Linked DNA regions of Diceros bicornis minor. The protein of the gene in region 1 interacts with the protein of each later gene in a biochemical or structural test. Links are inferred from orthologs where the notes say so. Each region holds a gene or a part of one and is shown on either strand. Other genes may lie near its edges.

The links.
Region 2: the proteins of GABARAP (region 1) and SEC62 interact in a test that uses a peptide from one of them, tested with the Homo sapiens proteins (2 studies listed by BioGRID and IntAct, with this or other methods). The link is inferred for Diceros bicornis minor from reciprocal best matches to the Homo sapiens genes GABARAP and SEC62.
Region 3: the proteins of GABARAP (region 1) and NEK9 form a complex in vitro, tested with the Homo sapiens proteins (2 studies listed by BioGRID and IntAct, with this or other methods). The link is inferred for Diceros bicornis minor from reciprocal best matches to the Homo sapiens genes GABARAP and NEK9.
Region 4: the proteins of GABARAP (region 1) and RETREG1 are reported together in a solved structure, tested with the Homo sapiens proteins (2 studies listed by BioGRID, with this or other methods). The link is inferred for Diceros bicornis minor from reciprocal best matches to the Homo sapiens genes GABARAP and RETREG1.

What each region holds. Positions count from the first base shown.
Region 1 is NC_080757.1:11,040,765-11,048,552, forward strand, and holds GABARAP (gamma-aminobutyric acid receptor-associated protein), read left to right. Parts: upstream 1-4,740; 5' UTR 4,741-4,812; coding exon 4,813-4,902; intron 4,903-5,461; coding exon 5,462-5,540; intron 5,541-5,682; coding exon 5,683-5,801; intron 5,802-6,266; coding exon 6,267-6,332; 3' UTR 6,333-6,765; downstream 6,766-7,788. Other genes in the region: CTDNEP1 (CTD nuclear envelope phosphatase 1), read left to right, coding at 659-725, 826-944, 1,160-1,231, 1,647-1,763, 1,992-2,103, 2,545-2,629, 2,939-2,999. UniProt on the Homo sapiens protein: Ubiquitin-like modifier that plays a role in intracellular transport of GABA(A) receptors and its interaction with the cytoskeleton.
Region 2 is NC_080754.1:51,869,939-51,877,553, reverse strand, and holds the start of SEC62 (translocation protein SEC62), read left to right. Parts: upstream 1-4,135; 5' UTR 4,136-4,182; coding exon 4,183-4,218; intron 4,219-7,615. UniProt on the Homo sapiens protein: Mediates post-translational transport of precursor polypeptides across endoplasmic reticulum (ER). Proposed to act as a targeting receptor for small presecretory proteins containing short and apolar signal peptides.
Region 3 is NC_080763.1:23,073,396-23,081,655, reverse strand, and holds the start of NEK9 (serine/threonine-protein kinase Nek9), read left to right. Parts: upstream 1-4,816; 5' UTR 4,817-4,947; coding exon 4,948-5,166; intron 5,167-7,632; coding exon 7,633-7,810; intron 7,811-8,260.
Region 4 is NC_080759.1:48,282,488-48,290,062, reverse strand, and holds the start of RETREG1 (reticulophagy regulator 1), read right to left. Parts: upstream 3,523-7,575; 5' UTR 3,495-3,522; coding exon 3,181-3,494; intron 1-3,180. UniProt on the Homo sapiens protein: Endoplasmic reticulum (ER)-anchored autophagy regulator which mediates ER delivery into lysosomes through sequestration into autophagosomes.

The DNA.
Region 1 (7,788 bases):
CCTGGTGGCCCCTAGCCAGAGGAACTTAGCTGACTTGACAACCCCCGGATTCCCTCATCCTCTATTCCCCTTAGGCACCCAAGGACCTCCCCTCCTGACTTCTATTCCCTGTCCACTAAGGAATCTGAGGTTCTCAGTTCCCAAGTGGAGGTGATGGGAGTTGTCACAAAGAATCCCTGGGGTGGAGGTGGGGAGGGCAGTGCATTTCTTTGTTCAGGGTAGCAGCATAATATCATGATTAAGAGGGCAGGTTCTTGGGTGGGACTGCATGGGTACAATCCCAGTTTCACCACTTCATCCATTCTAATGTTGTGACCATCCCTGCTACAGTGTTCTAGGAATACAACCATGATGGAGACAGAATCCATGTTCTCATGGAATTTTCATTCTAATTGAGGAGACAAACAACTAAATAAGATAATTCCTAGCTCTATGGCCTTAGGCAAGGTATTTAACCTCTCCAAGCCTCGGTTTCTTCGCTTTTAAAACAGAAATGATATTATTGTTATTAGGGTTGTTTTGAGGATTAAATGAAATAATCCTAAATCAGTTACGTGGTGCCCAACATACGGTAACTGTTCAACACGCGCTACCTATCATTGTTACTGAGGAAGATTTCCTTGTCAAGAGTTCTAATCCTCTCCCTTGTTATTCTTAGGTAATTCAGTACCAAACTGTTCGATATGATATCCTTCCCTTATCTCCTGTGTCCCGGAATCGGCTAGGTGAGTTTGCTGGCTGGGAAGACTGTTTTAAGGTGAGGTAGTAGGGTTCAGGGTCTGGGCTGGAGGTTGGTTGGTGTTATCCCTTCCCGTTGTGGTTCAGGCCAGGTGAAGAGGAAGATCCTGGTGCTGGATCTGGATGAGACACTTATTCACTCCCATCATGATGGGGTCCTGAGGCCCACAGTCCGGCCTGGAACACCTCCTGACTTCATCCTCAAGGTGTGTGGTGGTGGGAAGTGATGAAATGGTTATGTCCATTATTCTGCTTAGACCTGGACTCCCTTTCCTGGTCCCAGAGAGTCTTGTCCCCGTCTCCATTTCTTGGCACCAGTGTGAGCCTGAAGGGGGGAAGCAGGCAGTGGGAGGGTAGGGGGTGTCCTTTAGGCCTGTGTTGTGCTCAGGACTTCTCCCAGCCTTTCACCGTTCCTCTACAGGTGGTAATAGACAAACATCCTGTCCGGTTTTTTGTACATAAGAGGCCCCATGTGGATTTCTTCTTAGAAGTGGTGAGTTTGCGCAGCTAAAGGGAGCTCTGTGATGAAGGAATGGTTTTAGGGCTCTGGGAATTTAGAGGATCTGGAGGAAGTAAGGGGTGAGGAGAAATGGGTAAGGGCAGTTTTGGAGAGGGGAGGTTGTGGGATGATTAGAAAATGGCTTTTGATAGTTTGGGTTCATTTGTTGTGTTGATGTAATTCTATTTTTCCACAGGCTTCCTGCTCTTTTGTTCTCACCTCTCTGAATCTTAAGGGTGTATGGTGCCTAAGACTCTGAGTTTGGGGGCGTTCAGAATTTTGTGTTCCCAGAGACATTCGATGTTGCTGAAAGGCCTGAAGGACTAGACTGGATTCCTAGTGAAAGGGAACTGTATGTCTAAATGAATGATCACCTCTTCTGACACCTCTTTCCTGCGATCTATTTCAGGTGAGCCAGTGGTATGAGCTGGTGGTGTTCACAGCAAGCATGGAGATTTATGGCTCTGCTGTGGCAGATAAACTGGACAATAGCAGAAGCATTCTCAAGAGGAGATACTACAGACAGGTAAGGGGCTCGAATCCAGGTCTAAGAGTTAGGCTTGGGAGGCAGACCACCAGGGCAGGATTTGAGTTTGAGGCAATTTGCCCTGGAATGGGACCTTCTGGGCATGAGGGGGAGGTGTATGGTATGATCTCTGTTGTGAGAGTTGGCTGCCCATGGGTGTTGTTGGGATTAGGGGAGCAGTCACAGAGCGCGAGTCTCCTTCTGATGCCAGCTCACCCTGCCTTCCAGCACTGCACTTTGGAATTGGGCAGCTACATCAAGGACCTCTCTGTGGTCCACAGTGACCTCTCCAGCATTGTGATCCTGGATAACTCTCCAGGGGCTTACAGGAGCCATCCAGGTATGGGGAAGGTGGTGAGTCTGGCAGGACCAGGAAATGGTTTTGAGGAGGTATTTTGAATGCATAGAGCTGGGATTCCCTGGTTTACTGTAGGTCAGGATGTAAATTGTTTCTCTTTTAAATGAGACATCCCTCCTCTGCCACATGTCCACTTCATACATTAGATTTCCCATATCAAACTTGCTTCAGGTGAGACACAATGGCAATAAATTTTGCTAAAAGTCTCACACTAGTATGAGATATGGTGATTAAAGTTTAATTTTATTTTGGAGAATAAATCAGGAAGGTTTTACTTAGGTTGTTGAGTTTGGGCGGTGGGGGCAGGGTGCGGTTCAGTGAGGTATGTATTTAAAGAATGATCCCTACCCCGAAATAAAAGAAAAAAACAGTGTCTCTCTTGAATTCTTTGTTTCTTCTCATGTGTATCTTCACTCAACCTAGACAATGCCATCCCCATCAAATCCTGGTTCAGTGACCCCAGTGATACCGCCCTTCTCAACCTGCTTCCGATGCTGGATGCCCTCAGGTAAGGGAAGCTAGACATTTAGATTTCCGAGGCAAGGAGGAGGTGGGGGATCCCAAGAGGGAATAAAAGTTTGTCCTGTTTTACTTAACTTATCTCTCTTCCCTTAAGAACTTAGCATTTGAACCCAGGTCTTCTTACACTAAAGCTTATCACTTTTAGCCATTGAATTTTGGGCAAACTGAATCTCAGTCTCATCCAGTGAAAATGGTGATCATTTCTGCCCCACGTCTCCAATGAGGCTGCCTTACAGTAGTGTTGTGAGGATATCAACTATAAGGACTCTACCAATGCAAGTTATTGTCATCCCAGGTTCACCGCTGATGTTCGTTCTGTGCTGAGCCGAAACCTTCACCAACATAGGCTCTGGTGACAGCTGCTCCCCCTCCACCTGAGTGGGGTGGGGGGGAAGGGAGGGTGAGCCCTCAGGATGCCGTCTGATGCCCTGTCAAATGGTGAGGACTGCATGGGCAGGGTCTGCCCCTCCCACCCCTCTCTGCCCTGGGAGCCCCGCACTCCATATGGAGTTTGGATGGACACATGGGCCAGACTCTGAAGCAGCCTCACTCTAACTTCGTGTTCGCACTCCCTGGAAACCCTAGACTGGGACATAAGCCGAGACCTAGGAGAGCCGAAACAGTGTCTGTGGTGGAGAGACAGGACTGGCCAGAGTGAGAGACATTCGGTAATCTAGGAGGCTCAAAGAGAAGCCAAGCCAGCTTTGTTGTGATTTGATTTTTTAAAAACTCTTGTACAAAAATGACTAATTCTTCACTCCAAGGGCTGGGCTGTGGGTGGGAAACTGGGATTTTGGGCCACTGGATTTTCCCCAAACTTGTCCCCCCCTTACTTTTCACTCTATTTTCCCTTCTTCCTAGATTCCCTCAGATCTGTAACCACCTTTCTCTTTTTTTTCTTTCCTCTCTTTTAAACCATGCATTATAACTTTGAAACCAAAGCTGCCCTAGAGCCTTCTCTGGGGTTTGGGGAAATGAGGGGAGGGGTCATGGTTTACACCCTCCCTGTCCCCTAGGCAGAGGGGAAAGAGACTGCTGTTGGGCCCAAGAAGGGTAGGAGGAAAGGTGGTGCTGGCTTTTCGGGGATGAAAGAGTTAACATCAATATCTATGCTTTGGCGGGAAGGGTCTTAGTGACAGGATGGGCGGCCTGGCAGGGAGTGAAAGGACAGCTGCGTGTCCTGAAGGAACTTGAGCTTTAGCGCAGTATAACATAGAAGTATGAAAGGAGGAGAAACCTGGACGCCAGAACAGGCATATAGCTGGAGAGAGGCCGGGCTTCGCTTGGGGGACTGACGTGGACAAGCTAAGCACGGGCTGCCCCCAGGCGGCAGCTGCCCCGGGTCCTCGGCTCTCTCCGCTCCACCCCGGCGCTTCCACCCCTCAGCGCCCTCCTTCCGAAGCCGGCTCTACTTCCTCGCACCCGCCACGTGACGCTCCGCCCTTCTCCAAGATCACATGATTTTTCTGTTACAAATACTTAAAGTGTTCTTCCGCGCTGACGTAGTCCCTACCTTTCGGACCTCCTCTCCAGTCCCTATTGGTCCACTCATTCCTGGAACCTAAGCGTTCTGTGCGTCTCTCCAAATATATATTTCCTTTTTGTCGTCCGTAATTGCCGGAGACCACCTCCTCTGCTTGGGTACTACTTTGTTTTGGTGTCAACGGCCGCCTTTAGCGTACCAGCACGTTTTGTGAATAGCTATCCTTGTAATTATCTCTGCTCTTTTTTTCCTCTGCGTTACTTCCGAAAAGAACGTTTGGAGAATCAGGTCTCAAATTATTACCATCTCCTAGCCCTTTTCATTCCCGGCTTCGTGGGGGGAAGGTTGGGAAATGGGTTTTCAGTTACTTTCAACGACAGCTACGTAGCCTGCGTAGCTGACAAGTTGATTCCAAAGCGATTACGCTGACGGCGTGAGGGGGGGGCGGTCAGTAGGTGGTGCTACGCTAGCGGCGTTAGGGCTACTGAGCTAGTGGCGTAACATAGCAGGCGGGGCGACCCTTGATGGGCGGGGGCGGGGTTGGTGAATAGGGAAGTGGCGCAAGTCTCGGGATCGCTCCGCTGAATCCGCCCGCGCGTCGCCGCCGCCGCCGCCGCCGCCCCCCGTCCCGGCCCCCCCCCCCGGGTTCCCTCAGGCCAGCCCGGTCCAGCCCGGTTCCCGGGAGGATGAAGTTCGTGTATAAAGAGGAGCATCCGTTCGAGAAGCGCCGCTCTGAGGGCGAGAAGATCCGAAAGAAATACCCGGACCGGGTCCCGGTGAGGACAGTAGCCAGGGCCGAGGGCGCGGGCGCTGGCGCTGACGCCACAGCCTGGACTTGGGTCCGCGACGGGCAGCGCGGGCATCGGGCTGCCGGCTGTGGCGGGGTTGGGAACGAGGCCGAAACTGCTGTCTCTGGGACCGGAGGTGAAAGGAGTCGGGTAGCGGTAGAGCTAGAGGCGAGGGGATGTAGGTGGAGAGAGAGATCTTAGGATTTGTGTGGGAGGCTGTAGGGAGTTTGACAGCCTGAGCTTCACACGGTCGTTCCCCCCAGCTAGCTAGATTTTTGAGATTGAAGCTCTAGTCAGCCCAGACTAGTCATCCCCATCTGATTAAGATAGTTGTTTACTATGACGCCCTCTTCAGGGATCCTGGATATTTAGGTGAGTTCCAGTCAATGGGGTGAGGATCTGTACTCAGGGCTGCACCGCGTGTTCAGAGACAAAGAAAAATGAGTCGGGGGTAGGTTTGGGTGTTGGGAATATTGTTGCTCCAGCTCTTGACAGGTGGAGCTGTGAGGCTGTATACCTGATGTCTCCTAATTTTCATCTTTGTCAGGTGATAGTAGAAAAGGCTCCCAAAGCTCGGATAGGGGACTTGGACAAAAAGAAATACCTGGTGCCTTCTGATCTCACAGGTGGGAACCTGACCCAATACTCAGGTTTGCTTCCTGTGGGGGGGGTTGCAGTCTCTGTGGGAGGAAGCTCCACATATAGCAGCTGTTCTTTTGAGGGCATTTGTGACCTCTATGACTTTATCACACTTTGTATCTTTGGCAGTTGGTCAGTTCTACTTCTTGATCCGGAAGCGAATTCATCTCCGAGCTGAGGATGCCTTGTTTTTCTTTGTTAACAATGTCATTCCACCCACCAGTGCCACAATGGGTCAGCTATACCAGGTATGGTGACCGGGAAGTAGTGGAGGCTTTTGAGAGGAGTTAGAAGAGTTTGAGGGGAAGAACGTTTTAGGTCAACAATTCTTGGATTAGCTGGTTTGTTTAGCTCTCAATTTTATCTTTGGCCTTAAAATTTCCGGATTGCTCTGGATTGGGGGTTTGGACGGGCCAGTGGGAGTAGAGAGAAGGGTGAGAATAGTGAGCTGGAGCAACTATTCTGATCCAGACTCTCCCCAGTCCCCTTCCCATTCCAAGGCAGCGGAGAACAGTCTGAGATCTTTTTGCCCAGGACTGCTGTTAGGGATACTACTGCTTGCCACTAGGGCCTGGAGCGAGGGAAGGAGTCAAGGCACTGGTTTTTGGGGTGTTTAGAAAGAATGGTTTTTGAAGAATGTGTCTGGGCAGTGGGTGGTTCAAGTAACTAAAGCCCAGATGCCTGAGCACCATAATTTTCTGCTTTTACCCCAGGAACACCATGAAGAAGACTTCTTTCTATACATTGCTTACAGTGATGAAAGTGTCTACGGTCTGTGAAGCTGCTGCCCCTGAGGTGGGGGGTCCCATTCTACAGAGAGAGAGGTGGCCCCCCTTCCTTGACCTACTCTTCCTCCTTCAGGCTCAAACACCACCTCCATTATTCAGGACCTGCCCTTCCTAATGTTTGAGGCTCTCCTCCAGCCCGTCTTAGCAGGAGGGTTAATGGGGGAGATGGCCGCTACTACTTCTCCCTTCTCCTTTCTTCCCCCTTCTCTACCACCTTTGCCACTCTGCTTTAGACTTCTTGATTGTCAATCTCTGTCACATCCAGTGATTGTTTTGGTTTCTCTTCCCTTTCTAACTGCCCAAGGGGCTCAGAACCCCAACAATCCTTTCCTTTCACTACCTTCTTTTTTGTGGTGGATGGAAGGGACTGAATTGTGGGGGAAGGTAGGAGGCACATCAATAAAGAGGAAACCACCAAGCTGAACTGGATTTTGCTTTGTGTTGCTCCCCTCCCCCTTTTGTTTTTTACTCCTCACTGGTGGGGAAAGAGGTTGGAGGGATAGTAATAGATTTTGGTTTATTCTGTTGATGTTAGGCTTTTCCTTGTGTATAAATAGGGTGCTTTTGTTGTGATGGATGGAATACTCGGAGTATTGTTTCGTGAAACTTCAGTTTTACATACGTGTGTAGGGGGTCCTGATAAAAAGTTTTTTACTGTGGGTTCCTGTGGAGAAAGTTTGAAAGTACCTGCTTTAGAGAAACACATCCAAGTTTGTTATAACCTTTGGGATTAAGGAAGGGATTTTCGTGTGTGGGAGTTGGTAAAAGGACTCTGTCCTCAGTTGCATGTCACTTGGCCAGACTTTGTGCCGGCGTGTGGGATCCAGTGGAGTGGAATCCGAGAGAGAGAAGACTGGGAGGAGGAAGCCATTATCACCAGGAGAACTTCATCTCCCAGCAACCACTTCTCCGTCTAGCCGGAAGTGGAGCGGTCCCCCGGGGAAGAAAGAAGCCGCAGAATGAGGCAGTATGGTGGCCGAGAGTTTTAATCCCTTCTTCCCCTTCTTCTCTAGTCCCGCCCAGCCTACATTTCCCAGGAGCCTGCGCGTGTTCTTCCGCTCTACTCTGCTCCCAATCTCCCCGCCACTCCCCGGGGGAGGGGAGCGATTTAATGCGCATGCGCCAATCCGTGGCTTGCTGGGAACTGAAGTTCCGGAGGCTTATGCGGTCCCTTTTCCGCCGCCCGCGGACGGACTACAAGCCCCTTGATGCATTGCGCGTCGGCGCCCGCGAAGGGAGGGGGGGAGAGAAGAGGAGGGAGGGAGGAGGAGGAGGAGGAGGGAGCAGGCGGCCGGCGGCGCGGGGGGAGGGGGCCCGGTCCGGGAGTGCGGGAGGCTGTGGTAGAGGGAGGTGGCGGCAGCGGCTAGCGGACTCGAGTGCCAACCGGGCCGAGGCAGACACCTCTGTGGAGCGAGGCAGTAGGAGCACCGAACACCGGAGGCGGCAC
Region 2 (7,615 bases), on another chromosome or scaffold:
GGAAGTTTTCTAGAATCCTCAGGAATCTCACATGTGCCCATGAGTCACTCATGGCCATTATTTGCCATTCTGGTAAACTCAACTAGGCTTTCACAGCCTCAGGGGCTGATGGTTCCATAGCCGTATCACACAAAACTGAAACTGTTCCTGCGCCAAGGCAAAGATAAGGAAACCCTGAGTACCCGGTATGTGAATGAGAATGATACTGCTAACATTTCTGTTTGAAATGACAAAACAACTACCCTTTCAGTTAAAAAGACAAAGTGATTTTTATACTATGTTAAACATAAAAATATTTAATATTTTTAAGCTAAAAATTTTAGCATGCTAAAAAATTTTCTTTTTCAAAACAAAATATCCATGCTTGTTTTTCAATGATACATACTCAATTGTCTTATTTATGCTATTTCTTGAGTGGAAGTCTAAAGAATCAACTCATTTTAAAATATTAAATCAATTTTCAAATAAAATTAGGAATCCTGTATTTAATTTTACATTAAATACATTTATATTAAATTTATTTATTTTTCTTTGCGATCACAGCTTTAACTACATATTTTTAAATGCTTTTATAAAAACCATTTCCAAAAACAGCCGGGCCATGATTTGCTATACTTCCCTGTAATTTTTTCTTTTTGATTTAGTCACATATATTTGTTTATATAAACAAATATACAAAATGGGGCCAGCCCTGGTGGCGTAGTGGTTAAGTTTGGCATGCTCCACTTCAGCAGCCTAGGCTCGGTTCCTGGGCATGGACCCACACCACTCACCTGTCAGTGGCTGTGGCTCACATACAAAAACAGGAAGACTGGCAACAGATGTTAGCTCAGGGAGAATCTTCTTCAGCAAAAAATAAATAAATAAATAAAATAAAATGGACCCAGAAAAAATGTTATTTAAAACAAAAAAAACTGAATGTACCAGTTTCCAGTTTGCATAAGTCTGATTAATGGGAATACATTTCTGTCTACTATTCCCTTCCACTTACTGGGATGGTAGGCCCCAGGAAACGGAATTTTTCAAGTCCCCACCTATTCATCAGTCCTCCAGAGAGGGGCTCCAGATTGAAGAACCCTTTGTTTAGCAGAGCATGGTAATGAGTTTTTAAATTTATATGCCCTAAGGAATCCAGTAAAAAGTGAAGACTTTAATTTCTCTCCTCCGTATCGCAGGAGAATCTGGGTTTCAGAGGGAGCCCTAGAAAGAAAAAGTGACAGAGCCCAGGGGCAAAGTGAAGTTTTGCTTTGGCAAAAGAAAAGAAGGGGGAAATGCTCCTCATTCGGGAAAGTAACAGTCAAATGTCAGGAGTGAGACTGCAAATTCAAAGCAAAATCAGAGCAAGAAGTGGCTAGGAGAAACTCCCCACAACCACCACCAATGATATAAATGGGGTGCTGGGAAGAGTGTTTGAGCTATTTTTGTATAAATATTAAACGGAAGGAAGACAGAGAAATTTGACACTTGACTTATATGTGTGTGAACATCAGCCATCATTAACGCTGCTGTACACAATTGGGGAGCCATGGGGTGGAAGTAAACAAGGGAGTAGAAGACAGTCTGCAGTGTAGGGAGGGTAGAGCTGGGGACAACTATTAGCAGGCTCTTGCAACAATAGTTCGGGTAGGAATGATAAAGACCTGATCAAAGCAATGGCAGTAGGAATGATGAGGAAGGGAAGAATTCCAAACATCTCAGTTGTAGAATCAATCAGATTGGTGACTGGCAGAGAGGCATGGTTGGGATACCTCCAAGATTTCTAGCATGAGTGACTGAGTGAACAATGATGCAGTTATCAGTTTTAAAATACAGTAAAAGGGGCAGGTTTTGTTGGGGAAATGGTAATTCTAGTTGGACATTCAGTGGAGATATTCAGAGGACAGCTGGAAATAACTTTTATGCTATATTTTGGATTTAAGCTGAAAGCATGAATGAGAATTCTCAGATTGCATAATGCAAAGAGAAGGGAAGAAGCTGAGCATGAAAGCATGGCGGCCAGGAACATTCAAGAGCTGGGCAAAGAGAGAGGAACCAAAGAGAAATCAGAAGGAAGAACTGATATCATAAATGCCAAAGGACAATAAATCAAGAAGTGAATGGTCAATATTGTCATACGCTGAATAAAATGCTAGCTGAAAAGAAGCTATTGGATTTGACCAGAATTATTAATGAACAGTGGAGGTAGAAACCAAATTGTTGTAGTCTAAGGAGTGATTGTCAGTGAGAACATGGATACAGTAAATTAAAGCTCTTCTGAGAAAAAAGGTGGTAGGGCAGGAGCTTGAGAGGGAGTCATTGTCCACAAAAGATTTTTGTTCCCCATCATAGTCCTAGCCTAACATTTTGCATCTAGCAGGCAGTATCTATTAAATGCAATAATATTTTCATTTATTGACCAGATCTCCTATGAAAAGAATCCAGTGTTCTCCAAATAAAACAGTACAAAACAGATCCATCATTTTGGACAGGGAGAGGGACTGAGGAAATAAAGATATTTCATATTCTATATTATGTTTTAGGTTAATTGGTAAGAATTATCACTTTTTTCTCACCCTCCTTCTGACCAGACACCCCCTAATTATAGATTATAGAGGGGAAAGGAGCTAAATGGCTTGCTGATCCTGTCCCTGGAGTGCAGAATTGCATAGCCCCAAAAAGAACTTTCATTATCTTATTTTATAAAAGATTAGGCATCAAGTTGCCACGAGTTGCCTTAATTACATATTTAATTGCTATTAGGTTACATATATAATATTGAAAACTTGAAGAGTCTTTTAATGATATAATAATGCTTACGACATAAGCATTAAGTGAAAAAAAGGCTACCATATAGCATATGCAGTATGATCTCAATTTGGGTAAGGGGAAAATATATAAATACAAATATATATACATATTTATACACACATATACATACAAAGTAGGACTAAGTACTAGACAATAAACTGATAACATCTCTGGGTGGTAGAATTACAAAATTTTATTTTCTTCATCTTTTTTTTTTTTAAAGAGCTATCCAGCTTTAATTTTATTTATTTATTTTTTCCCCCAAAGCCCCAGTTGATAGTTGTATGTCATAGCTGCACATCCTTCTAGTTGCTGTATGTGGGATGCGGCCTTGGCATGGCCAGAGAGGTGGTGCGTCGGTGTGCGCCTGGGATCCCAACCCTGGCCGCCAGCAGCGGAGCGCAAGCACTTAACCTCTAAGCCATGGGGCCGGCCCTATTTTCTTCATCTTATTTTTCTGTATTTTCCACAATTAAAAATGCTTTAAAATCTCTATAAAGTCATGGGACTTCCTATCTAAACACTTACTAGCAATTTAAGCCCATTCTCTTTGTCCTAGGTGGCTCTAAAATAACAATAGTTATAATAGCAATTCCTTGAAGTAGCCTGCAGTCTTCTTCACGCCCAACTTCTTGGAACCTTTCTCCTACTCATCTTACTAGTTGCTTGTACTTCCTTGGGTTCTCTCGGACTCTCGGATTCTAAAGGTGAGTTTGGAGAAGCAATGTGAAAACTGGAATGGAGAAGCCGAAGTTTGTTTTAGATGAGCCGTACTACCCGGTTCATTGTGTGGAAAAAGATAATTGGCCCAGATCTCGGCTCTGCCCTTTACCAACTGTGGGACCTTAGATAAATCAGTTCGTATCTCTGCCCCTCAGTTATCTCGGTTTTCTCATCTTTTAAATGGGGTTAAAAGAATTTACACGTGGGAAGTGGGCGAGGCTCGTTGAGAATATTGGAAGTGCCACAGTTAGGGACGTCTAGAGTTCCGTAGATCTCAGTAAATCCCTCTAGGAAAGACCCCACCGCAAAGGTACTAACCCTGAGGGGGGTGGGGCCGGGAATCTGTATTTTAGTAGCTTCCCAGGTGATTCAGATGCTCAGTCAGGTTTCAGAACGAAGGACTCTTTCCAGCCCTCCTGCTCTCTGATCCACTTCTCAACATCCTTCTGGTCCCAGCGATTTCCAGTTACCGCAACAAACGGAGCCGAGCGAAGAGGGCAGAGAAGGCGCCGCCAAGGCCCCCAGGACCCAGCGGCCCCCAGCCTCTCGGCAGCAGCCCCCGTCCCGGGCGCTAGCCGCCAGGTTACATAACGGGCCCGCGGCGCGCTCTCGCGAGGTTTCCACCGCCCCCTCCTCGCTCCACGTCAGAGGGAAGCGGGCGGAGCGGCCAACATGGCGGAACGCAGGCGACACAAGAAGCGGATCCAGGTAGTAAAGCCGAGCTCTGGGGTAGGGGCTTCAGGGCGCTCAGGAGTGGAAGAAGGGGAGAAAGGCCCCTGGAAGGGCGAACGAAACCGAGGGCGAGGCGGGGTGGGGTTCCGCCGCGAGGCTCCGGCTGCAGGCTGCGTCGTTGTGAGGGGCCTGAGGGGGGGCGGTGTTGGCCGAGGCGGAGATCGAGGCGGAGGTGGTGGGGCAGCGGCGGAAGGCAAGAGGCGCCGCGCTCGGAAGCCGCCGCGGATGCGCGGACGCCGGCCTGGGGTTCCTGTGGCCGCTCCGGCCGGCGCCTCCGCTGGGAGGTCAGCCTCCTCCCCAGCGCAGACTCCGACCTCCCCGGGCTCCTCCCTCCCTTCTCGACCCCATCCTGTCGCCTTAGCGATCCCGAAATTAAGGCTATGGTAATTAGGGTAGAAGGAGGCGGAGGACTGACCTAAAGCAGCCGGTTCTTTGTGCGCAAATAGGACCGTAGGAGGGGGAGTAACCTGGGTCTGGTCAGCTGCCCCGGGGGCCCAGGCAGCGATCTGCCTGTCCAGATGTTCAGCTGCGTGTACTCTCCTGTGTCCTCGGTGTTATTAACTTCATAGTCCACTTGGAGCTTTCTGGCTTTCTTTCAGGCTACAAGTGTAAATAAACACAACCGTGTTGGTACTGCAACGAGCTGGTCGCGCCCAGAAACCTTTCCTGTGCCACTGTGTCATCCTTATAACCTACATAACATCCCTCCCTCATTCCACATGCATGTCATATCTATGCATTTCTGCCCTACAGTTTCCCCTGTTGTTCTTGCTCTTTGCCACGAGGGTTAAATATGTGGAACATCTTAAACTCGGGATGTTGATTAGTCCGTTGTCTCCTCAGCTCATGTGCCTAGAAACCTCCATATGTCACCATAAATTGATAACATGTTGTAAGTTAATATAATAATCACAAATTGTTACACTTCTCATTGTCTTTCTGTTCCTTACTATTTCACTGCCTAGAATGACTTTTTCTATCTAATGTTTTATTTCTCCATTTAAAAAAACATTCATCACTTAAGTTGGCTTACACCACAGGTGATTTGTGCTATGCAAGTTAAAATTCTCCTGAAAACTTTGAACTACTACAAAAGAAGATGCCAGTGATCAGTAAATTTGGAATTTTGGAACTGGGCAGAAATAAGCAGGTAGTTAACTAGCAGAGTACAGAAGGGGATAAGAAAGAGACAAATTCCCCCAAAGTCAGACAGGTCCTAAAACCAGGGCTTAAGGTTATTATGGAAGAAGTTTCTAGTTGTACTTTTCCTAGTCTTTCAAAATGTAGTGTTACAAGTGTGAATGTGTAATACTTTTATTAGAATTTATATTAAAGTTACTGGTCAAATTATACTTAATGTACACTTATTTACATGTGCAGTACATTTTATGCCCCTTAATACACAGTGTTTTTACAATTTCAGCTGCTCTTTAATATTGTCGTAAAGATGATCCTGATTGATTTTTTGAATAGCTGCTCTTGTTTCAGTTGTGATCTTATATTAAAGAGAAAGGTAGATTAAGAAGCTGTATAGTAGTGGTAGTGGCTGGGAGCTAAAATTTGAGCCAGATTGTGCCTGTTTGTACCCTGTTTCACTAATTATTAGCTGTGTAACTTTGGGCAAGTTACTTAACTTTTTACCTCAATTTCCAAATCTGTAAGAAGGGATATTGACCTCAAAAAAAAAAAAAAGAAAGAACGAACCTGATAGAGTTGTAAGGTTGTTTTGAAAAATAGGTGAGTCGATGACCTGTTATTAAAGGTTTTAAAAGAGTTCTTGGCACATAACTCCTTTCTCTTCCCCCCTCCCCAAGGATGAAGGGTTTGGGATGATTTGTTTTGGTTTTTGTTAAGCACTCTGATATGCTGAAGAAAGATTAACAGCTATCTATTCAGTAAATAAACCATTAGACTGTGAGTTCTGTAAGTATAGCCATTTACTTACTATTGCTTATTTGAGGAACAAATAAATATGTGAGGATCCATTGTTAAAAATCAACCTGGCATACTGCTAAATGAAATCAAGTCAATTGTACGTCAATAAAAAAAAAAAAAAGAAAAGAAATAACACTTATTTTTCCCATCCTTGAAGTTTTTTATGTAGTTGTGCTAGAATGTTGTAGAGATCTTGGGAGAGCTGCTTGGAGTACTATTATACAGTCTTAACAAATTAATAAAACTATACAATATCTTATAAAATTCCTTGTGTTCCCCCCCCCCCCGAGAATCAGAAACTATAATATTGGCATCATTTTAAACAAAAAGATCAAATGTAATGACAAAGTTCAGAGTTTAAGTTACAGAAAAGATTCTATTGTAAGACTTTTGGGCAAAAAGGTCTGTAATATCAACTGAGTTTCCTGTTGTTTGTTCCTTGATGTTTCATGTTTAGAAAAGATTTTTATGTTTAATAGATTCAAGTGACCCCGAATTGTAATTTGTACATTGGGGGAAATGGTTGATACAAACAAGTTTAAGGGTTTAAAAAAATAGCTAATTCGTTTGCTTTTTCTAGTGTAGTGTAATTTCAGATTCTGGTATCCCATCCAAGTTGGAGACAAGAGGACTATTGCGTCACATTTCCTTCTTGGACTCACCTTACGGGTCACTGAAAACCAGAAGTGAGCTACGTGTTCATTGACATTATTTTGGGAAATTTTAATGATTGAGATTCTCAAATGAGAATGATCTCAATCCAAATTAATGAAACATTTGAAAATAAATAACTTTAAGAAATGCAATTATCTAAAATTTTAAGAACATACAGTAAGTGCTTATAGGTTAACAAAGTGCTACTTACTAGGAAGGTTGCTTTAGAATCCTGGAATCATGAAATTTTAGAATTGAAAAGAATTTTCAAATAGTAGGGTTTGTTTGGAATCTTTTTGCACAAATGCTGTTCTTATGTAAAGACAGGGTGGTGGGCCCAAAGCGCTATCCCCTCAGTACCCCACTATCATCATGCCCACACCCCGTGGTCCTTTAAGCTACTTTTAGGACCTAGATCTAAAAGTATTACTAGATATAAAACTTACTGATCTAAGCCATCACCCTCATTTCACAGGTAAACTGAGGTTCAGTGAGGTTATGTGACTTGACCCAGGGTCACTCATCAGGATGGTAAAACCAGATTTAGACCAAGTCTTCTAATTCTCAGTTGAATGTTCTTTCCACTTCACCATTGATAAAATAAAAATAAATTGTCCTAATGCTTTAATCCTGAAATCTTTATATTAAATTGTGTAACATAAAGACATAACATAACTTGTCCCTACTAAAGACAGAATCATCCCATTTAGTATTCTGCTTATGTGTAAAGTATCCAGTTGAGTTTTGGAACATTTAAATAGCTTACTAATTCTTAGAACTTTTA
Region 3 (8,260 bases), on another chromosome or scaffold:
AGCAGTGCATCGGTGCGCGCCTAGGATCTGAACCCCAGGCCGCCAGCAGCAGAACACACGCACTTAACCGCTACACCACGAGGCCCACCCTTCCTCGGCTTTAAAGTATGGCAGATTATGCATGATGAATTAGAGGAAAAATATCGTCTGTTATTTACTCTAGATGGATCAAGTTTCTGTGAGCTAGTAAAAGTTTATTATATTTTGTATATAAAATATGTGAATTATATATGATATGTATATAAAAATAATAAGAATTATACATCTTCAGAAAGACCAAATAGGGTTCTGTAAGCCAGGCGTTCTCTGTAAGCTTCTCTCTTTTGGAAACTGCTATTGGCATTATTCCTGCAGAGGGTCTTCTCCCTTGCCCTCCATTCTTAAAATACCCCTCCCAATTTAGAACCTCTCAAGATTTGCTTTTTTGGCCCATCACATCTATGCAAAACCCTATCCCAGCGGGTAAAGGCCATTTTCTCCTTTCCTTTTAGTTGCAGTTGAACGTTTTTCATAAAGCCCCTTTCCAACAGTCAGCCTGAAGTGTTTTGCACATTCACTGGTAGCCTCTTATTTACCCTCTCCTCCATTTCCCAAAAAAACCAGATAATAAATTTGTCAATGAATCTATAGTCTATAAAGTAGTGGTTCCCAACATTTGAGTATAAATATTTTAACATCAAAAATGTCTTATATCTGGGCCGGCCCCGTGGCTTAGCGGTTAAGTGCGCGCGCTCTGCTGCTGGCAGCCCGGGTTCGGATCCCGGGTGCACACCGACGCACCGCTTCTCCGGCCATGCTGAGGTCGCGTCCCACATACAGCAACTAGAAGGATGTGCAGCTATGACATACAACTATCTACTGGGGCTTTGGGGGGTGAAATAAATAAATAAATAATTTTTTTAAAAAATGTCATTTCTCACTAATGTTTTAGAGAACATAAATAATGAATTCAACAAAACATAAATTTAATAGTCTTTAACAGTATCATATTCTTACTAAATGGTAGTACATGTTTGGCAAATTATTATTTATTCAGTGCTGCAGTGGTGTCCCACATAACATGAGCCCCATGTGTAATTTTAAATTTTCTAGCACCACATTAAAAAAAGTAAAAAACAGGTGAAATTAATTTTAGTAATGTATTTAGTCTAATACATCTAAAATAGTATTTCAACATGTAGTCAATATGAAAATGATTAATGAGATATTTTACATTCTTTTTTTCATATAAAGTCTTTGAAATCCAGTGTGCATTTTACAGCTACAGCACATCTCCATTCAAATGAGCCACAATTTAAGTGTTCAGTAGCCATATGTAGCTATGGCTACCAGATTGGACAGCTGCTTGGTACTTTGGTAAATTCTTTAATCTTTATAGTAACTCTGTGGCCCCCGGGAATCTGCCACTCACAAGTGGAAACTTCTGCTATATAGCATCCTAACTATTCACTTGTTAAAATATAACATGGAAATAATCTATTTTTGATCAAAGGCACTTTAAAATCAGACGTTTAGAATGTTGAGTGTTTCTGGGTTTGTAAATATTCGAAGGTCAGATGTTTAGTTTCATTTATATCCAGTATAATAAAGAACTGAGCAAGAGTGTTTCTGTTCTATATTCTCTAAGATGGAACAGGACATCTGTCTGTTAAGCTTATATCTACGCATTATAACTAGAACAATTAACAATATCAGGCTAACCAAGTTACAGAAAGCTATTTAGTTCCTCATTGCAAAGGTGCCAAAAGAATGCATTTTTAAGCTTTGGCTGAAACCTATACAGCTTTACTAAATGCAAGTCAGAGCTTCTGATTTTAAGTAATTACTTTTTCCATTCTTTTAACTCAACAAAACATTTATTGAACATGTATTTTGTTTAATGTGCTGAGCTAAACTCTGGAGTGCACCCAGATAAATAAGAAGGAATACCTCTTCTCAAAATGCCTTCTGATTAATAGGAGGAGGTAGATGGAATGGCCTCTATCTGGAATGATCTCCCTGCTTTATTTAGCCATCACCAACTTAACATTTTGGATATTCCTCCAGGGAGCCTTCACTAGCCCAGCAAGTTTGACTTGGAAAGATGCCTCTTCTAAATGCCTTTCTAGAATCTTTACTTTCCTTATAATAGCAGTTATACAGTTATAATTGCCTGGTTAGTTGTCTATTAACATGGACTGTAAGCTCCATGAGAGTAGGAACCATGTTTTGTTCTCTGTTGTAACCCAGTACCTGGCACAAGTTGGTACTCAGTGTTTGTTGAATGAATGAATTGCAAATTCAAAAATATCTGTATAATGTAGAACCCTGGAATGAAACCAACAAAATAAAGTTTAACAGGGGTTATCAGTCAGTCAGTCTTGCACTGAGGTTTAAAAAATGTTATATATATGAGATAATAACGACCTGATATTCATTCAACAAATTTTTTTTTTAAAGATTTTATTTATTTATTTTTCCCCCCCAAAGCCCCAGTAGATAGTTGTATGTCATAGCTGCACATCCTTCTAGTTGCTGTATGTGGGACATGGCCTCAGCATGGCTGGAGAGGCAGTGCCTCGGTGCGCACCCGGGATCCGAACCCGGGCCGCCAGCAGCGGAGCGTGCGCACTTAACCACTAAGCCACGGGGCCGGCCCCAACAAATAATTTTTAAGCGTATAATATCTAGCACTTTTCCAGGTACTGATGATATGTAGGTGTGAACTAGAGCGTAAAATCCAGGCTCTCCTGGAGCTTTTATTCTGATGAATGAGAGAGTCAATAAAGTAAACATAATAAGACATCAGTATTTTATTAAGCATTGTGATGAAAAGAAGGAGTGATGTGATCTGGTGGGACAGCTGTATTACTTCGGATTAGATTGGATGTGAAAAAAGTTTAGTTAAGTGCGAGCTTGGTATAAGCAGACCATCATTATGAAGGCTGGCACACCAATAGAAATATTGGATCCAGATCAAGGGAGACGAGTCCCCTTGTGCTCTCCTATTCAGACCTGACGTGGAATGTTATGCAGAGTGTAGTATATCATCCTTTAAAAGGAACGTTGGTAAACTGTAGAGAGGTCAGAGGAATGGGAACTTATTCCTTCACACCCCTCACCCCATTCGACCAATTCTTTTCCTCCTATATTTGCTATCACTATCTACGTAGTGAGTCTCCTGGACTCGCACATTTACCTCACCAACCATATTCCAACTGATCACAAAGTTCTAAATATTCCTCAGACAGATTCCTAAATCTGGACCTCCTTTCCACTCACACTGATAGTACCTCAGTGCCTCGTCTTTTCTTAGAATATAAATTGCCTCCTAACTGGTCTCCCAGCCTCCAGTCTTTGTCCTCCACATTGTCATCAGAGTTCTTTGTAAAATTTAACTTTGGTCTTAAGTAAGGTGACCATATCATTTATTGTCTGAGCTGGGCACTTAAGCAAAAGAAAGCTCTCAATTATGCTAAGGGAAAAAGGCGTAAATGGAGACTTCCCCAGCAAATCAGGACATACAGTCACACTAATCATACACTCCCCTGCTTAAAAATCTCTAATAATTTTCCATTGCTCACAGGAAAAGCCAAACTCTATAAAACATTTGTGGCTCCGTCTTCTGCTTCTACCCTACATACACCCTGGCCGCCAGCCACATGACCTTCTCTAAGCCCCAACACATCCTGTTCTGTGAAAAAGATCTGGAGCCAGATTGCTAAGTTTGACTCCTGGCTTCCCTTAGTAGCTGTGTAACATTAAGCAGGTTACGTTAACCTCTCTGTATCTCAGTTCCTTCTATAGAATGGGAATAATATGAGGATTAAGAGGGACGATACATGGAAAGAAAACCTTTTAGTATAGTGCCAGGAACATAACACGGAATAAATGTTAGCTGTTATCCCTGTGATGTAGGTCATATTCCCCTAATTTTACAATTAAAAAGCAAGCTTGGAGATGTGAAGTTGCCCAAGGTGACATAACTGATGGAACACGTTTTTTCACTGCATTGCAATTCTCTTAGTGACTTGAGGCCAGGGAGCATCTTATGGGAGCGATCTTCCCTCCCCTAGCTAGCCCTGGTCCTTTAGTGGTTAAGATTTAGAGCTCTCACCACTGTGGCCAGGGTTCGCTTCCCAGTAAAGGAACCACACCACCAGTCTGTCGGTTCTCATCAGCAGCATGTTGCTGTGATGCTGAAAGCTATGCCACCAATATTTCAAATACCAGCAGGGCCACCCATGGTGGACAGGATTTCAGCAGAGCTTCCAGACTCAGACAGACTAGGAAAGAGTGAAAAAATTGGCCACAAAAACGCTATGAACAGCAGGAGAGCACTGTCTGATGTAGCGCTGGAAGGTCAGAGAATGGTGCAAAAAGACCCGGCAGGGTTCTGCTCTGCTGTACACAGGGTCGCTAAGAGTGGGACTGACTGGAGGTCACTAACAACAAGAAATAATATCTTTATTATACTCTCTCTCTAAAGAAATAGCGCTGTCCAACTGAAAGGGACTGCTTCCCTAATCACTCACTGCTATTGAGATAGACCTGGAGCCAAGATGAGACTGGACACCCTAGGGACCTGGAAACTGTCTGGGGGACCTGGCCAGAAATTGGGGGAAAGGTCTACAGACCCGTGGGTGACGCCTTTGCCTCTGCCTGAGCCCTTCGGTTCCACGCGGTCCCCACCCGCGCCCGCCAACCCCGCCGCAGGGCTCACTTTCCGGGCCCGCCCGGAGGGAGAGAAACCGCGGCCCCGAGACAAAGTAAGCGAGCCAGCGAGGGCAAAGGAAACCCCGGCGGGCCGGAAGCACCCAGAACTGCTTCCGGGTCAGGGGACGGAGCCACTATGGAGCCTCGCGGGGGTGCGGGGCTGACGGAGCCGCGGGTCGGCGTCTGAAGCGACAGGGTCTGAGCACAGCCAGCGCCGCCCGGGACACGCAGGCCGGTCCCGCGGCCGCCACCATGTCGGTGCTGGGCGAGTACGAGCGACACTGCGATTCCATCAACTCGGACTTTGGGAGCGAGTCCGGGGGTGGCGGGGACTCGGGCCCGGGGCCCAGCGCCGGTCCGGGGCCGCGAGCGGGCGGCGGCGCGGCGGAGCAGGAGGAGCTGCACTACATCCCCATCCGCGTCCTGGGCCGCGGCGCCTTCGGGGAGGCCACGCTGTACCGCCGCACCGAGGTAGCGGCCCCCGGCCCCCGCCGCCGAGCCCCTCTTTAGCGCCCCGCTTTCCCGCGTCCGCGCCTCGTCCTCATTTAGTGTTGGGCGCCCGCAGGGTGTGTGTCTCAGGTCTTCACCAACTCACCTGCGCTAGGATTTCGTTAGATCACTGGTTTTACTAACTGGTCGTTTTTGTATAACCTGGGGAACTGAGCAAGTCATTGAACCTTCCCTAAGCCTTAGTTTCCCCATCTGTAAATTGGAGTTAGTGATGACTACCTTAAAAATAATCTATTTTTCCAGGTTATTTTGAGACTCGAACCAAGGTACTTTGCAAACTGTAAATTAAAGTGGTATACGAATGTGAGGTATTGTGAAAACTACCTCTCGTGCTGTATAGCTCTCCAAGGTCGGGGTGGGGAGGAGGGGCATAGCTCCACAATTCCCACATGGATAGCAGCTCCGCTGTCTTGGCCGCTATCTTCAAGTTCCGGTATGAACGCTCAATTGGAGATTGTCCTTGAAGATCATTCGGAAGATCGTCGTGTGTTGATTTATTCATCGGTGTTTATCCAGCAGTGTTTATGCGTGGCAAATATCTTTTTAGTATATTCTAAGCCATTAGTTCTTACCTTTGAGGGGGACAAGGACTCTTTTGAGAACCTAATGTAAGCATAATCCCCTCTACCCACTCTTGCACATAGACATCCTTTGAAGAGATTCATGGATCACTGGCCCCCAAGTTCAGAATGTATACGGTTCTAAAACCCTGTAGTGGTGACTCTGCTTCCAAAAACCAACCATAAACTGGGTTTGGTCACTAAGGTCTTAGAACTCTAGCATTAGAACAGTTAAGCATTTAATGAGAACTTGGTGGGGTTGCTGAAGGTGATTCATCCATCAGTGATCCATCTACAGTTCTGGTATGTGTTCCAAAACAGCATACTTTTAAGGCTGAAAGATGGAGAAGGAGAAGGGTAGTTGCAAGAGAATATCTTTTTTTTATTTTATTTTATTTTATTTTTGTGAGGAAGATTAGCCCTGAGCTAACATCCGTGTCCATCTTCCTCTACTTTATATGGGACGCCGCCACAGCATGGCCTGACAAGCGGTGCATCTGCGCGCCAGGGATCCGAACCGCAGGCCGCCAGCAATGGAGCCTGTGTACTTAACCAGTAGGCCACGGGTCGGCCCTGAGAATATCTAAGTGTTCTTTTGTATCCCAATGCAATGTTAATGTATGTCGATAGAGTTACCATTAGTATTCTGTTTTCTTGTTTGTACTCACAATATGAGAAACAGGCGATGAGTATTGGTATTCTTATTTTATAGTTAAAGAAACTAAGTATGTTAAAGTGACTTGCCCACTTAATTAGAAGTAAATCTTGGACTAGAACCTCTCCTTACCTGTGCCTTTCCATTATTATCATGTTAAACTTGATTACTGAGATTGTTTTAAGTTAAATTTGATTATACTTCCCCAAAACTGCATAGCATTATCCATATCATGAAATGTTCATTAGATCTGTAAATTTACAAAAGTTTAATTAGAAGCAGCTCTTTCCCTCAAGAAACTTCTATTTCAATGGGAAGACAAGTTAGCCCTGTTAGCAAACAAATAGTATTTAAGTTGTATGTATATATAAATGGAAAATAATGGACAAATATTATTTCAGTGTTTGAACTCTGAAAATTAATGGAATGGTTGCCTTGAATAAATGTACAGTAGAAGGTTTATCAGAATCTTCCCAAAAAAGTTTTAAAGGCCTAGCAGAGCCATTCAAAAGGATTTATTTAGGTGGGGATGCCCCTGAGCTGGGGAGCTGTATCAATAAAGAATTAGAGATATTATAAAAGAGAGTGGATATTGGGAACTGCAGGTAAGTTTTCATGAATAGAGGAAAACATGTGATACATAAACATGACAGGAGATACAAAGTTGCAGAATGGGGCAGGGTGAGGGAAGTGAACTCAGAGCCTTTAGACATGACTTACTCTTATCCAGAAATGATAAACGAAAATCATTAGAGAAATCTGAATTTATAAAATGAGTCGTTTAATATCTCTGTTTTACAAGAAAGCATGGTCAGCCATAGATAACCACTCTCCAGTTCTCTATTTCTCTAATATTCTAGCCCTACTACAGTCCTCATCATGATTAGCAGTTTGTCATAATGTCCCTCAATAGAATCTTTGAGATCTCCCTCCATCCTATATTTTTACCTGGAATTGACATCATGCAAGTTAAGTGTAGGAACAATATAACAGCATCTTCATGCTTTACTAGCCCCAGTCCTGCAGTAAATTATGATACTCAACTGTATGCAGAACCTTTAAAGTCTGTTCATGTTTTGTTTAAAGGAAAAAATAAAAGGAGTCACTCTCTGCCCACCTAGGAAGTTTTCTTTCTAGGCTTACAGATCCGGGTGTGGATTCATTCTCTGCCGAGCAAGAGGAAAGCACGATACCTCTATTACTGTGTTGTAGGATGACTCACTGGTTGTGTGGAAGGAAGTTGATTTGACCCGACTGTCAGAGAAGGAACGTCGTGATGCCTTGAATGAGATTGTTATTCTGGCGCTGCTGCAGCATGACAACATCATTGCCTACTACAATCACTTCATGGACAATACCACCCTGCTGATTGAGCTGGAATATTGTAATGGTAAGACAGAATTCAGTGGGACTTCCTCTGGAAAGACGTTCTTGTGCTCATACTTTTCTTGAGGGGGAGAGAAAAAGAAGAGGCATATACAGTGATAAAAACTTTGAATGGATTTCTAAAGTTTAAGAGAAATAGTTCAGGCCCTGAGAGTTTTCAAGTGATATATAAAATAAGGGGAGGGATTTTCCTCTGCATACTCAAATTCTCCCTTGTGATTATAGTTCCATCTTCAACTTATTTGTTCAGTTGAATTTTACATTTATTTTTCAAGGTTTTTTCTCAAGAAATGACATTAGAGACATAGTGTGGCTTGGCACTGCTGGATATATTTAATGCAGTCTTATAGGTGATCTTTATTTATATTGACTTCAGCCAGAGCTATCCTATTGAAAATGGTCCAAAGATCATAGCTGAATGAAAATGATACATAGTAAAGCATGGCCTTATTTA
Region 4 (7,575 bases), on another chromosome or scaffold:
CAAGGTACTAAGTCATTAAAAAACATATGTTTAAAAAGTTAATTTCAGGGCTGGCCTGGTGGTGTAGCGGTGAAGCGCGCATGCTCCACTTCAGCTGCCCAGGATTCACAGGTTCGGATCCCAGGTGCACATCGATGCCCCGCTTGTCAAGCCATGTTGTGGCAGCGTCCCATATAAAGTAGAGGAAGATGGGCACAGATGTTAGCCCAGGGCCAATCTTCCTCAGCACAAAGAGGAGGATTGCAACGGATGTTAGCTCAGGGCTAATCTTCCTCACACACACACAAAAAAGTTAATTTCCACAAAAAAGAAATAATACTTATTAATATGAAAACATCTTCACTATCGCTTAAGACAAGATTTGGTTTCCTCATATTTCTAACATAGATCTTTTTGTTTTTCTCATAGAAAATGCAGTGCTTTAGAGTTCCTGGGACACAGAATGTTAGAGTGTCACATAATTTAAGATCACTTGATAAGAAATACACTATTTAAAGAAAACTTAATGTCCTTGAAAAGCATTTTAACCTCAGAAACAAGAAAGGGGAAAAACACTTCAAAATTTTAATAAAATTAATGGATCAGAAATTCCAATTAATAAGTATTTCAGAATTTAAAAAGCAGGACTGTTATCTTTCTGTCAAAGAAAATACATGTGTGGAATGCAGATACTGCAAGCAGGAGAAGAAATAGAACAGATAAGAAGAAAGCTATAATTGGATTGAATGCCTGGGCATTGTTCACCTCTCCATCAGACTCATTAAAAAATTAGATGGAAGACGTCATTCCTGAATAATACAAAATATGCCTTTCAATTATTTTATGCAAAAAAACATTATTTTCAATAGATGTTATTAAGAATACATCAAAGAGAGAAATGTTTGCAACTCATACTACAGAAATTACGCTGAACTTCTTTATATATAAAGAGCTCCTACAAATCAATAAGAAAAAGACCAAAGGCTCAACTAAAAAAATGAACTAAGGTTATTTATAAACAGATAATGCAAAGAAATGATACAGTGGCTCTTGAATATAAGAAAAGAATGCTCAATCTCAGAGAAATACAAATTAAAACCACACTGGGATATCTTTTTTCACATATCAGATTTGCAAGATCAAAAAGCCTGATAAAATACTGTTGGCAAGGGCGTAGAGAAACAGGGAGTCACACACATTGCTGGCAGGAGTATAAACTGGTAGAACTCCAAAGAAGTGCAATAACGTAGTGACAGCCATCAAAATTACAAGCGCACATCCCCTTTGACCCAACAACTTCACTTCTGGAAATAGTTTCATATACGCAAAATAATGCAGGTACAAGGCCTTTAGCTATAACACTGAAATAGCAGAAGTTTGGAAACAACCTTAGTCCATCAGTAAGAGACAAGGTAAATAACTTGTGACATCCTTACAATGGAATTCTACGCAGCTGGAAAAGAACCAGGAAGTGATCGCCAAGATACATTAAGAAGAGGAATAACCCAGATAGTATTCCACAATTTGCATAGAATATTGTGTATGTGCTGAAATATGCACTCTCTGGAAAGATACATAAGAAAGATACTGGTAACAATGGTTGCCTCTGGGAGGAAACTGGGTAGCCAGAGACAGGCGTGGGAAAGAGATTTTCAAAATGTTTAGCCTTTTGTACCTTTAAACTTTTGAACTATGAGGCTATATTAGTTTTGTTTTTTGTGTGTGTGTGAGAAAGACTGGCTCTGAACTAACATCCAATGCCAATCCTCCTCTTTTTGCTGAGGAAGATTAGCTCTGAGCTAACATCTGTGCCTCTCTTCCTCTATTTTGTATGTGGGACACTGCCCGTGTAGGTCTGCACCCGCGATCTGAACCTGCGAACCCCGGGCCGCCAAAGCAGAGAGCGCGAACTTAACCACTACACCACCAGGCCGGCCCTTAGCTATTTTTTTAAATAAATAAAATTTAAAACTAAGAAACAGAAGTTTAAAAACATATCCCTCATTGGTAAAATGAGTGAAACACAACCCTAAGACTATTGGACTGTTGCCCAATCTAGCATAATACAATATACCCTCCTTATTTGAGTGATCACAACTTCATAACAGGACAGACAAATTTGGAATAAACTCTAGAAACATACATAGCTAAGAGACCCAAAGTAAAGTTAATTCACATTCAGGGACCCTGATAAGACACAGTTTGTTTTATGAGAAAACCAGGACCAGCACAGATGTGCAGAAAAATCTTAAAGTTGCTCGAGTTAACCTAGAAAATGGCAGGCTGTGTATGTTTTGTGCATTTATTTATTTCCTAACTTGAAGGGTAAGAAATCTATGTCCTGTAAGGAGGTATCTCTTGCCGAAGCTCTGCTCCTTCTGCACTGTGTGGGTCAGGCTTGTTATGAGGACACAGTTGCAAACAAAGGCTTTTCTCCACCCTCCATCAGACTGGTAACAGATGACAGGGCTCGTCCTTCAATGAAGGAGCCAGACACTTCCCCTGCCCTTACCGGTGAAGGGCGCTTTTTGGAGAGAGAAACCTGTTGATCAGGCACTTTTCAGAGACCATTCCTGTGTATTCTCTGTACTTCACCTAAAAGTATGACTGTTTTCCACACTGTGCACACCTAGGGGGCGGGGTGATGTACATAATCCACCTATTTGCCTCTTGTCTTCTCATCAGGGAGCAGACAGTAAACCCGACCCTTCAGGGAACGGAAAAACAAATCATTCAGCGCCCAGCTCAGGTGGCTGATGAAGGCGGCGCCGTCTTGAGCGTCTACCTAAGCCGGTCCAGCTAGGCCTGCTGGGGGTGCAAGAACCAATACAAGTTCAAGCACGTTTGCTCGCCTACTTCGGGCGAGCAGGTCAAGCCCTGAGAGTTTTAGAAAGCAAGGGCAGAAGTTTCCGAGCACGCCTGGCACACCTGTAGGTACAGGTGCCGGCGGGTCAGCGACCGCCTCGCATGCGAGGCTGGATACACAGCCGCAGGATGGCAACTGTTTACAGGGCAGTGCGTCTGGAGGAAAGTTGAAGTGTGTCTACCTGTTCGAGAAAGTGGGAGAGGGCTGACACTTCTTCCTCCGCAGTGTCCAGCGTGCACCCCCCACCCCGGGCCCGGGGCGCGCCCTCCGCCTGCCCTCGAGCGTCCCAAGGTCACCTGCCGCTCCGGACGTCCCCATCCACCCCGAGCTCTCACCAGAACAGCAGGTTGGCCCCGACGAAGCCGAGCAGGCTGCGCAGCGGCCTCTTCCAGCTCAGGAGCTCGTCGGCGCGGCAGCCCAGCCACAGCACCGGCTCCCCCAGCAGCCAGGTCACGGCGGCGGCCACCCCGCCGGCGGCCTCCTCCACCTGCCGCCCCGCGCCGGCCGCCACCGCCGCTTCCTCCGGCGCTTCCTCCTCCGGCTCCTCCGGGGGAGCCTGGGGCGGCGGCGGCAGCGGGGGCGCCTGCTCCTCGGCAGCGGGAGCGGCGCATCCTTCCTCGGCGTGCTCCGGGGGCGCCGGGCTCGCCATCTTCAGCGGCGCTTCCAGGCGGGGACGGGCACGCGCGCGGGCGCGCCTGGGTGTCGGCGCCGAGAGGGCGGCGGGTCCCGGCGCGGGGCGCGCACCGCGGGGCGCCAGCGGCTGGGTGCCTTGTGACGTCAGCCCCGGCCGCGGCGGGGGCGCCTCCCGGGGGAAGTGGGTGCGGCCAAGTTCGCGCGGGGGCGGGGCGGGGCGGCCTCCCCGCCGTGGGCGCGCGCTGGGCGGTGTCCCGGGGGAGCGCGGGCCCCCTCGATGGCCTCGCCCGGGACCCAGGGAGTGCGACCCTTTTCCTCTTCCCTTCCAGCTGCGGGGGATGGGGAGGGCGAAGTAGAGGACCGCCGCCCGGTTACTTATTTAAAGAGAGTCAGAGCCACGGGCAAAATCAACTGGACATCTTCGCTTTCTCAAGCCAGGGCCACCCCTCGCCCATCCTGCACCTTGGAGGGCGTGGATTTCAGCAGCAGATTTCAGCCCCCAGCCCCCCGGTCCACTGCCCTGGCAGGGCCAGGCTGCACGACCATAGCAGAGATCTTTAGGACTCTGGGAATAACGTGATGATGTAAATGTTGGACTGAGAAAGGAATTAAAAAACATTTGGGGTCAATTCAGGAGCGTCTGGCCCTCTCCTTTTACAAGTGAGGACACGCCAGGCCGCAGCGAGGGGCGAAGGCGTGTCCTCTCTCCACCCGTGGGCGGTCATCGGGCTCAAAACGCACGGCGGTCGGTGGGAGGTGCAGGTGAGCGGGGAGCTGAGGAGGGGGAACCCCTGCAGAGACCGGACGCTTTGCACGTGTCAGACAAGGTTTGGCAAGCCTTGACTGCAGTTACCTCAGAGCCACTGTGGTCTCGATGTCACAGCAACACTGGGACAGGGCTAAGGCGGCCTTGAGGGGGACACAGGGAATCCTGAGACCTCCCATACCCGGCCTTGCTGGCCCTGGGGCTTCTGGGTGCGTGTGGGGGGAGGGAAGAAGGGAAACTGTTCATGCTCGCTTTCACTATTTGCATTTTTAAAATGTTCTATTCTTTAATCCGCCCTGCCCCGCCTCCCCCCTCCCCTTCCCCCCCCCGCCTCCCCCCCCCCCCCCGTTCTTACTTCTCTCTAGAACAAAATGCCCCTTCCCCCATCCTGAGGGTGCTACCTGTGATGCATCAGGGCATCTTGTATCCTCTTGGGGTTTACTACTGGCAGCCAGCCTGCTTTCACAAGATGAATGGGGCTCATTCCCAGAGCGGTTAAAGCCCCTTGTTTTAAGGGAGCCTCTGGGGAATGTTCTATAATGCTCGTCTGGGTGGTCATTATACATGTGTATACCTCTGTGTATACATATGTAAAAATTCATTGATCTGTACGTTGCAGGTGTGTGCACTTTACTGTATGTCTTCCCTCAAAGGGGTATTTTCCTAGAGTTTTCCCAAAGGTTTGCTGAGCACCTGTGTGTCCAATGCCTTGCTAACCTCTCTGGTTGTGGCTTCCACCCACAGGAAGCTCACAGTCCAAGCAGGGTCCAACTGCCATTGTTATAACTGCTGTGCTGGAGATAATCACTCAGGGCTGAGAGTCCCTCCTCAAATCGTACATCCAACATTAGGGAAGGAGTGGAGGAGGCTTTTGGAATAGATGGCATGTGTCCTGAGTTGTAAGGAGGAGGGAAGTAAAGTGGGGATTGGGGGGAGGTGGCAATAATTTCTTTTGGGAGATGAACATGGGAGAAGTTGTGGAGTTTCAGGTGGAGGCGCAGTTCCTTATGTGTATTTGCAGCAGATCACCAAGGCCTTGGTGGATCCACTAGTGGCAGAAAGTTTGGTTTTTAACCTGAAGGCAATGCAGGCTCTCGGGCATTTCTGATTTGCCTTTGAGGAGAGTCATTCTGACAGCCTGATAGAAAGCGGCCATGGAGGCAATGAAAAAGTCAGGTGGCAACAACTCAGGTATTTTTTTTCCACAAAAGAGAGACTATCTTTTCCCAGGTGTTGGTTCCACCTCTTAGCACTAGAGGAGGAGCTTTTGAAAGATAAATGATGCTATATTGTGTAATCTGGCCTTTGTGTGGCACTGGATACAGCCCAGGGGTTGCGATATTCTAAGATTCGTCACTGGACTCTGTGGCTGGAGGAGAGAAGGCAGGGCAGAAGAGACGAGGAACCAGACATCCCCATTGTCTAAACCAGTGTGGATGTGCTTCCAGAAACATGTTTGCAAGATTCTTCACGTTCTCCTTCTCTCCCGGCATTCTAATTATTGTTGTCAGGATCTGAAAGATGTTGACAACCAAGACACATAAAAGGTAAACTCGAGTTGCTATATGTGGTTTGCAACACATCTTTATTTAATGATAAAGCTCCCTACCCACAGCTATGTGAAATTTTTTCTTTCTCTTTGTTAAAATTACAGTAATCCCCCTTACCTGTGGTTTCGCTTTGTGCGGTTTCAGTTACCTGCAGTCTAAAAATATTAAAGGGAAAATTCTTGAAAGGAACAGTTCATAAGTGTTAAACTGCATGCTCTTCTGAGTAGCGTGATGAAATCTCATGCCATTCAGCTCCGTTCCATGCAGGATGTGAATCATCCCTTTGTTGGATCCCCAACCATCTACATCATCTGCTCCTGACATCCAACCATTGGCATCATCATGGGTCAATGATCCCCCTTCTGACATACGGTCAGAAGGTCAATAGTAGTCTAACACTAGGTCACAATGCCTACATCATTCACTGCACTTTATCTCACCACGTAGGCGTTGTATCATCTCACAGCATCGAAAGAAGAAGGGTGAATACAGTACAATAAAATATTGAGAGAGAGAGACCATATTCGCATAACTTTTATTACAGTATATTGTTATAATTATTCTACTTTATTATTAGTTATTGTTGTTAATCTCTTACTGTGCCTAATTTATAAATTAAACTTTATCATAAGAATGTATGTATTGGGCCGGCCCTGTGGCTCGGCGGTTGGGTGCGCATGCTCCGCTGCTGGTGGCCGGGGTTTGGATCCCGGGCGCGCACTGACGCACCGCTTCTCCGGCCATGCTGAGGCCGCGTCCTACATACAGCAACTAGAAGGATGTGCAACTATGACATACAACTGTCTACTGGGGCTTTGGGGGGAAAATAAATAAATAATTAAAAAAAAAAAGGAATGTATGTATAGAAGATATATATATATATGTATGTATATATATGAATATATATATATATATATATATATATAGGGTTCAGTACTATCTGCAGTTTCAGGCATCCACTGGGGGTCATGGAATGTATCCAACACAGATAAGAGGGGACTCCTGTACTATGGAAAAAATGCTACACAAAACTGGTTTGCATAAAAAGCTGGACTGATTGTTCTAAACTGTCTTTTCCACCTATGACCTCTAATAATTACTGACAAATAATGTTACAGGAGTAGATGCTGGTATAGACACATAAATGGGTGTTACTGGGTGTTCTTTCTTTGTCTAATTATCTTTGTGATGCCTTAAGTGATTTATTCAGTGCTAAGACTACATAAAAATAATGCTAATGATGGTTAAAATAAACCTTGTCCCCTAATTTCAAGAAGATGTCATATTTCTAAATGTGGATAACCTTACTGTTGAAGATTCTCTTCTGAATTTTGCATCTCTGTATATTGGAAACAGAGTGATTAACACTAATGAGCTAGATGATTTGACAATGTATATCCAGGGGAAACAAGGAAACTGGGAGTGTGTCAGAAGAAAAAGAGAAAGAGAGAAAACAGTTGTAGCCACTGAATCTAAGAGACAGTTTAGAAAATAACACAGCTCTGGCAAAGAAAGCCAGAATGCACATAGGAACTCTTAAAAGAGGCCACTCACCTTTCTCTTCCAAAAGTAGCTAGAAAGCTTGTAATAGGAGAGAGAAATAATGAATAATTAATTCCCACTCCAGGAGGCCACACAGGCAACATCAAGCGAAGCCTTATAATGAGAGAGAGATGCCCCAGTATTACTTTTTTTTCCCTAAAATGTTTCATGTTAGAATCCTACTGTAGGTCCATGACTCCTTAAATCAAAAGAGCGATGCAGACATGGTGTTTTTATTA